Linked DNA regions of Notamacropus eugenii. The protein of the gene in region 2 interacts with the protein of the main gene of each other region in a biochemical or structural test. Links are inferred from orthologs where the notes say so. Each region holds a gene or a part of one and is shown on either strand. Other genes may lie near its edges. The genes, in order: GNA12 and ARAF.

Region 1 (3,909 bases), on a different chromosome or scaffold from region 2:
TTGAAGAGTCTACAAATATTTACCAAGCACTTATGCTACAGGCACTGTTAGCCGAAAAACTTTGCATTCATCCTAGATATTATGCAAGAAAATCTTTGAGCACAGTTTTGGTAGTGGACGAGCCTAGCTAAATTTGGATAGGCTCATTACTACAGAGACCACAGAGTGATAAATGTTTTTGTGGAAGGTTATTCTCTGCAAGGTAGAGGGATTAAAAAGGAATCATAGATGCTCTGAAGTGACATCAGTCATATCAATGATCAAATTCATGAACTACTTTTTAATTCACATTTGCCATTCCAAAAGATAATTGCTAAAGCCCTGTTTTAGTAATGATTGATTCAATGTAACAAACATTGTTTACTAGGTCCAAAACCTTGTGCTAGATCTGAGGGAAATACAAAGTATCCCAAAAGTCTTACTATGGTTTAACCACAGTACAAAGGTCCTTGCCTTTGCACAGCTTAAAGGAGAGGTTCTCATACCAAAGTGTTTAACAAGTTTCACTCTTCACTTAAGTGTAGTGTAAAGGTTACTGACCAAATCAGATTACCATGTGGCCTCAGTTACTAACTAGCCATGTAACTAAGTGGACATCTCAGTTTTCTCAGTCCATAAAATGGATACCCCTCATACAACATACCCCTCTGGAATTTTATGAAGAAAGTCTTTAGCATTTGAGCTATATAAATGCAAGGTATTATTTAAATTAAAAGGTTCTTGTGAAAAGCAAATAGCTTAATTTATTAATAGTCTATAACTGAGGGAGAACATGCTGAACAATTTTTTTTTTGCTTGCAGTGTAGTCAAAGGTTAATGTCTAAATTTGCTCATTGCTGTTTATTGTTTAAACCCGAATTCTTTTTTGTTTTTAACTTGACACATAGGACTTGACACATTGTCAGTGACTGGTTTAAAATGTACCACTCCCTTCTTCCCTGCATCTAGAGATACTCAATAAAGATGGCTTTAAAGAACTGAAGCTTTTTGTAAAGCCAGCGGGATGGTTTTCACGACGATCCGAAGTCATTTCTGGGAATTTTATAATATAGCCCAGTCCCCTTGATGCCGAAAGTCTAATGGTTCTTCTCCGTGACTCTGTAGCTCTCTAGACCTTTAGAGTACCCAGAAAACTGGGACCGTGTTCGGTACACCTGGCACTCCTAGTGCCACGCCCATCCAAAGGTTAAGATCCAATCCGAAGACAACCCAAGATGATTGGCTTGCTTAGGGAGCAATAGCAGCCTGCATCAGTGGGTGGCCGTTCCATCCCCCCGAGTCCCCGCCTCCCTTTCATTCTGAAAGAAAGGAGCTCTGCTGAGAAGTCCAATGGGAAGCGTAGAGTCCGAGAACGACGTCTTGAACCCCGCCTCCCATCCACCGCCCCTCCTCCCCGACCCCGCCCAAATAGGGCTCTGCAGCCTTCTGGAGGAACCACAGACCAATCGAATAGCGTTCTGTGTCAGATTGACAACATTCAGCCCAATCCCTTGGGCCAAAGCGAGGGCGACCCACGCCCCTGCATGTACCCCTCCATCCCTCCCCCCCATCTCCTACCCTCGGCGGGGGGTCGGAGCGGCTTGCTGGGAGCTAGTGTGGGCTTGGGAGCGGGCGGTGGCGACGACTGCCCCGGGTTCTGGGTACTGACTCGGGGACTCGAGTCCGAGTCTCCGCCCGCTAGGATTTGGAGGCCGCCAGCGGCCCGGCTTCGCCCCCGTCGGTCCCCCTACTCCGCCTGTCCGGGGGTCGCCTCCGCAGCTCCCCGCTAGCGGCCGCGCCCCTCGGCCGCCTCCGCCCCGGGCCGGAGGAGCGGCGCTCCCCTCCCCCTCGGCCGTGGAGCCGCCGCCCCCGGAGGGCGGGCTGGGGCTACTCCGATGGCCCCCGGCTCCTAGCCGGGGGAGGAGGGGGCTGGGCGCCTTCGGGATCCGGGCTCAGCGCGGCGGCGGCGGCGGCGGCGGCGGCGGATGCAGACGGCCGCGGGGGGGCCGTGAAGGGGCGGCCGCCGCCTCCCGCCCCCGCCGTGTTCGCTTCGCTCAGTCCGTGCTCTCCGCGGCCGGCGGGGCCATGTCCGGGGTAGTGAGGACCCTCAGCCGCTGCCTGCTGCCGGCCGAGGCCAGCGGGCGGGAGCGCCGGGGCGGCGGCGGCGGCGGCGGCGGCAGCAGCCGGGACTCGGAGCGGGAGGCCCGGCGGCGGAGCCGGGAGATCGACGCGCTGCTGGCCCGGGAGCGCCGGGCGGTGCGGCGCCTGGTGAAGATCCTGCTGCTGGGGGCCGGCGAGAGCGGCAAGTCCACCTTCCTGAAGCAGATGCGCATCATCCACGGCCGAGAGTTCGACCAGAAGGCGCTGCTCGAGTTCCGGGACACTATCTTCGAGAACATCCTCAAGGTGAGGGGCAGGGCGCCCCGCTGGGGGCGGGGAGGCGTTTGGGGGGGGGGGGCGAGGCTCGAGCATCGCCTTCCTTCCCCTCCCCTTGGGGGGCTCCGCCGATCTCTGGTGCCTACCTGGTGCAGGTGAGGAGACTGACCGCCCTCCAGGTGCGGGGCCGGGACGCAGTCCTGGGAGCGCTTGTGGTCGGGCCCGCGGCTACCTGGGGGTGAGAAAGTCTTAATCCGGTTCCCTAGTCCCCTGGCCAGGGACGGAGGGAGCAAATCAAGCATTTATTAAGCACCCACTCTTTGCTTTACCGCAACCCTGGCACGTATTAGGAGTTCCATCTTATAACTGAGGCAGAGTTTAAGTGGCTCCATCAGAGTCATCCAGCTAAGTGGATTTGAACTCATGACTTCACCGCCTTGCAGCCTCTGCGAGGTACTAGACTGGGTGTTGGATTTGGCGAAGGGTCAGCAGGACCCAGGTTCCAATATGGACCCTGGCACTGTTTAGAACTGGGGAGTTCCAGAAGCAAGTTTTAAGTTGTGTGACCATGGGCAATCCCCTTTTAACTTTTCTAAGCCCCATTGCCCTGATTGCTAAAATGGGGATAGGAATGTCTCAGACTTACCTCACTGAGTTCTTGTGGGGATCAAATGAAATAATGAGTAAGATGCTTTGCCAGCTTTAAAATGCTATCATAAATATAGTTTATTTATGTGCCATTTTTATCTATTTCCTGGCGTAGTGTCCAACAGATAGTAGGCACTTAAAAATGCTTAGTGAATTGCATTGAAATTGAGTTAAAAGTGCATACGGATATTTTTGTTTTCGTCCTGTATTTTTATAACTCAGACTCCCTTTTTTGCTGTCACCAAAAAGTAGTCTTTTCCTTTATCCTGATCATCTTTGGATATTGTAGGGTGGATGGTAAATTAGGCCCTCGTTGGTGCATTTGGTGTGTTGATCTTAGGGGTTGGAGAGACCATGACTGCACTTCTAAAGGAAAAACCACATTGGGAACTTGGAGTAGCAAACCACTGCATGTTGGCTGCTTACTTTAGAAAGTTGCTGTATGATGTCTGTGGTTTTCCCACTCCACCCTTTAGAGTCTTCAGTCAAAGCTGATGAGGAAGTTGTTCTTGCTTTTTTCAGGACTGTGCAATCAGAAGAAAAAGCCCCAAATATGTTTTAATGTTATCTAGTGTTAAAAAGGGTCACAGAGAACTTTGGGGAAGTCATTGAGTGGATGTAGAGCTGACCTTTCTCTACCTAGGTATAATTTTTGACTTACTCTTTCTCTCCTGGTTTTTAAGTGATCATATTTTCAGGCCTCAAAATTGGCTTTTTACTCATTGTGGAAATAAGGGGAAGGGAATGGGACCTGAGGACCCAGAGAAACATTGTGAAATTAGTTATTTCAGGGAACTAGCCTGCTGTCCTGGAGGCTATGGATTTTATCTTGCATTTAAGATTTTAGAACTGGAGATGTCTTTAGAGATTGTTTAAGTTTAATCTTCTCATTTCACAAATAAGGAA
Region 2 (3,909 bases):
AAGGTCTTCCGGGCAAAGTTGTGAGCAGCTGCAAGCGGAACATCAGCCCGGACCTCGACTGTCAGTTCTTCCCCATGCAAGGGAGCAATGGCTGCATCCCAAGCTGTTGCTGTCTTCCGGCTAAGGGGGCCGAGAGGATGAGTCATATGGGGAAGGAGGGGGCTAGGGGAACTGGGAGAAGGGAGGACAAACAGGGAGCTCACCCCTGCACAAGGCGATACACAGCGCAGCAGTCTTGGTTCAGTCCCCGCACCTTCAGCGCCTTGTCCAGTGAGTCGGAGACGGTCATCCCATCTCTCGCAGTTACCTAACAGATGCTTGTGATTTACTTTTTCCCAAGTTTCCCTCCTTGTCCCAGCTCCCAAGATTAGGAGTTTCTTCCTTCCCTGGGCAGGGCCCCTGATCTTTCCCAGATGGCTTGCTCACCACTGTGCGCTGCTGGTTGGGCAGATAGACCTTCACAGTGCCCCCAACCCTATTGCTGGTGAAAGGGATAGCATCAGGATCTTCAGGTAGGGTTAAGCCCCTGGAGGGTTCCACAGGGGTGGCAGTCGGGCCTCGTCTCATCTTGCCCCCCCCCACACTCAAGTGACCTGAAAGGTGGGGAAAGACACTGTTGGGAAACGATGATGGGCTAGGCTATAGATCTCTATACTTTACTGAGGGGACAAGGATGATGGTGGGCTGGACACTGGTGCAGCAGAAAGGGTGCTGGGTTTGGAGTGGGAAGCCTTGGGTTCAAATCCTGGCTCTGCCATGTATTAGCTGGGTAAACTTGGACAAGTCACTTCACCTCTGCTCGCCTCAGTTTCCTCCTTTGTCAAATGATGAGGTTGGATTACATGACTTTTCTTCCCTCTCAGCTTTAGCCCTATGACCCCTATGCTGTGCAAGCACCATTAGAATGACAATGATGTTGGGATGGCTCAAGATCTCTCATTACCATTTATGGGGATAAGACTATTTGGGGCGGGGGAAGATCAGAAGACATTGAACTCTTGGGGGGCAGGGTGTGTGTGGATCAGGAAATCTTTAGTTCCCATAACAGAGGTTGACAAAGGTGGAGATAGAAATTTCTAAGCACTGTCAGATGGCCAAGCATGATGGGATAGGAGACTATGATTCCTGCCCCCAACAGCTGGTGCCATCCATCCTACCCTCTAATTCCAGCCCTAATTCTAATCCTTAGGGATCTTTTGTGAAGGAGCTTAAATGATTTCGGGGCCAACTCTGAAGTGGGAGTGGGGCTGCCACAGAAACAAGCAGTAGAGCTGCTGCCTGGGTGCTGGGGAGGAAAGAAAGTAAACAATACTGAGTCACCAGAACCTGCAGATAGAGACATGTTTGAACAAAGCAAGGAGGGGAACATTTCCACAGCACCCCAACAGCCCTTTTGTTGTGCCAAGGCAGGGGCACAGGATTCGAGAATACAAATAAGGTTTGCAAAGGTACAGGGGAGCTGTGACCCCCTAACTGTTCTTCACACATGCTTTCAGCTGTAAACACAGTTGGACAAGGCAGGGACTTCAGAGTGGTCACTCCATGTGGATCAATGTTTAGAGCTGGGCCCCTGGGGAAGCGAATGGCAGCACTATGGACATCAGCAAAGGAACACAGAGGTGGAGCTATGGTATACAGTGAGTGGGCCTTGGAGAAACAACCAGCACCTGTTGAGCAGAGCTACAGGAAGCAAAAATCAGAGTGATTAGCAAGGGCAAACCCTGACATTATAATTGGCTGGAGCCCCACCCAGGGGAATATCATAAGTCAAAGATTTGGGATTGGGGGGGTGGTGTGCCCCTCGTGTCCCTGTGCATGGGTGACTGTGTGTGTATGTACTCTCTGGGAAATTTCCATGATTCTGTGGTCAGCCTTGTGAGCCTGAGTACTTATATGGGGAGCCAGTGGCTACTCAAGTGGTTGCCAGACTCCAGGTGGGTGGGGACAACCCACAGGTGCGCCCAGTGTCCCTGGGCCTTCATTTCGAAGGGACTTGGACTGTTGCGGGGGGGGGGGGGGGGGGGGGGGGGGGGGGGGGCCGAGGCGCGGCTGAGATGAGGGGAGGCGAAAATTTCTGAAAACTCTTCGCAGGACCTAGATATTGGGGTTAGCAGAGGATCTCCAAGAGCCATAACCAGGAAGCTCTTATCACTAGGGAAAACGAAGTTTCCGAGTGTGGGTGGGGATTTCCAAGCGCCAAAAAGGGGCAAGGGGTAGAAGGGGTAGGTGGAATGGAAAGATTTTGGGGGGGAGACGACGGTGAAGAGGGGGTGGGAAATAGCCCCACCCCGGGAGGGACTCTGTGCGCAGGCGCCAGCAGCCAGATAGTTTAAAGGAACCAAATCCCGTGCCCCTCCCCCTTCCCTTCGCGCTTGCGCGTTGCGTCCAGCTACCCCTCCCAGCGACGGGAGATTCCATTCTTTTTCCGTGAAGGGGGGAGGCACGGGATAAGACAGGAAGTAATACAGAACGGCCACCGTGGCTTCAGCCTGGCGTCGTCTTACCTGTCACGGTGCTGGCACAGTGGCCTCCTCCATCTTGGGGCCCATCTTTCCTCTCCCAGAGGGTGGAACCGGCCACGGCCGCCTCAAGGCCCCTGTTCCGTCAGGCCTGCCCCCGTCGAGATCCCATTGGTCGCTTCAGCTCCAGCAAAGCCCCTACCCACAATCTCATTGACTATAGGAGCCGCCGCTCCTCCAGAATTCCATGCTCATTGGCGGATGCTTTCTCCTCCTTAGGCAGATGACACTGATTGGCCACTCAGGGAGTTCACCCCTTTCCTTTCAATCCCTCACTCTCCCGGAGCCCCACCTCTCCCGAGTGCACATCGGTCACTTCAGGAGCAGTTTTCCCTCAGTTCAATAGTTGTCAGGCCCCGCCCTCTACCTTCTCAATCCTGGGAGCCCCACCTCTGTCGAGTGTCCATTGGCTACTTCTCCCCCCACCCCTTCTAGGCCTGCAATGATTGGTCAGAGCGTCTTGTTCCTCTTCCTCCTCCCACTTCTCCGTTGGTGCACTCTCATTGGCTTTCTCCAGTCTCTTAGACAGCTCATTGGCTGCCTGGGTCTTGGTGTTGGTTGTGGCTCTTTAAGCCGACCAGGAGAAAGGTGGGGCAAAGAGTTGACTGAGAACTGGGTGGTGCAGGCTTGGGGCTGCAACCCGCCTCGGGGGTTAAGGATGTGGCGGAATGAGTGCTTTTGAGTGAGCTGACTGTCCCAGGAAAGAATTCTAGAGCAAACACTCCATTCCGCCTCTTCCCGTCATTCCTATTGCCTTCCCCCTCCCCTCTCCCGTTGTCCATTTCGGACTCTCTCTCTTCCCCTCTCCCTCTCCCTCTCCCCCTCCCCCCATGGGTTTCCCTGGGAAGATAAGGTCACCTGAGGGCAAGCTCTGTCTGTCACCCAGCCTTCTCAGCACTGGTTCGAGGAGAGAAATGAGGGAGAAGGGAGGGAGAGAAATAGAGAGACAGAGACAGAGAGACACACACAAAGAGAGGAGAGGAGAGAAGAGACAGAGAGAGACACACACACACACACACACACACACACACACACACACACAGTTTTGAAATCCTCAAGGAAGAGAGCTCTAGACGCGTTAGACCTGGGGCAGCTCAGGAGAGGCTGCTCACCAATGATAAAAGCTTCAGGCTGAGCTCTGCTTTTCATTTTGTCATAGTCCAGTCAAGGAAAGTGAATCGATTACTGAAACTCAATGATAAATCTGGAAAACCACTGAGGAAAAAAGTCTAGTGTCCTGATCACCTCCAGTCAAGATCCGTTCCTGTCAGTTTTCAGCCAAAGAGAGAAGAAAAATGGGGACTGACTACAAAGAACCCCTAAGGAGAGGTCAATGAAGAAGGGAGCCTTAGCCTCAGGATTCCCTCAGACCAGGCAACATTACTCATCC

Evidence for each region.
Region 1: the proteins of ARAF (region 2) and GNA12 form a complex in vitro, tested with the Homo sapiens proteins (2 studies listed by BioGRID). The link is inferred for Notamacropus eugenii from reciprocal best matches to the Homo sapiens genes ARAF and GNA12.

What each region holds. Positions count from the first base shown.
Region 1 is NC_092874.1:385,309,768-385,313,676, forward strand, and holds the start of GNA12 (guanine nucleotide-binding protein subunit alpha-12), read left to right. Parts: upstream 1-1,482; 5' UTR 1,483-2,064; coding exon 2,065-2,385; intron 2,386-3,909. UniProt on the Homo sapiens protein: Guanine nucleotide-binding proteins (G proteins) are involved as modulators or transducers in various transmembrane signaling systems. Activates effector molecule RhoA by binding and activating RhoGEFs (ARHGEF12/LARG).
Region 2 is NC_092879.1:101,767,103-101,771,011, reverse strand, and holds the start of ARAF (serine/threonine-protein kinase A-Raf), read right to left. Parts: upstream 2,968-3,909; 5' UTR 2,505-2,967; intron 594-2,504; 5' UTR 568-593; coding exon 427-567; intron 308-426; coding exon 204-307; intron 121-203; coding exon 1-120. UniProt on the Homo sapiens protein: Involved in the transduction of mitogenic signals from the cell membrane to the nucleus. May also regulate the TOR signaling cascade. Phosphorylates PFKFB2.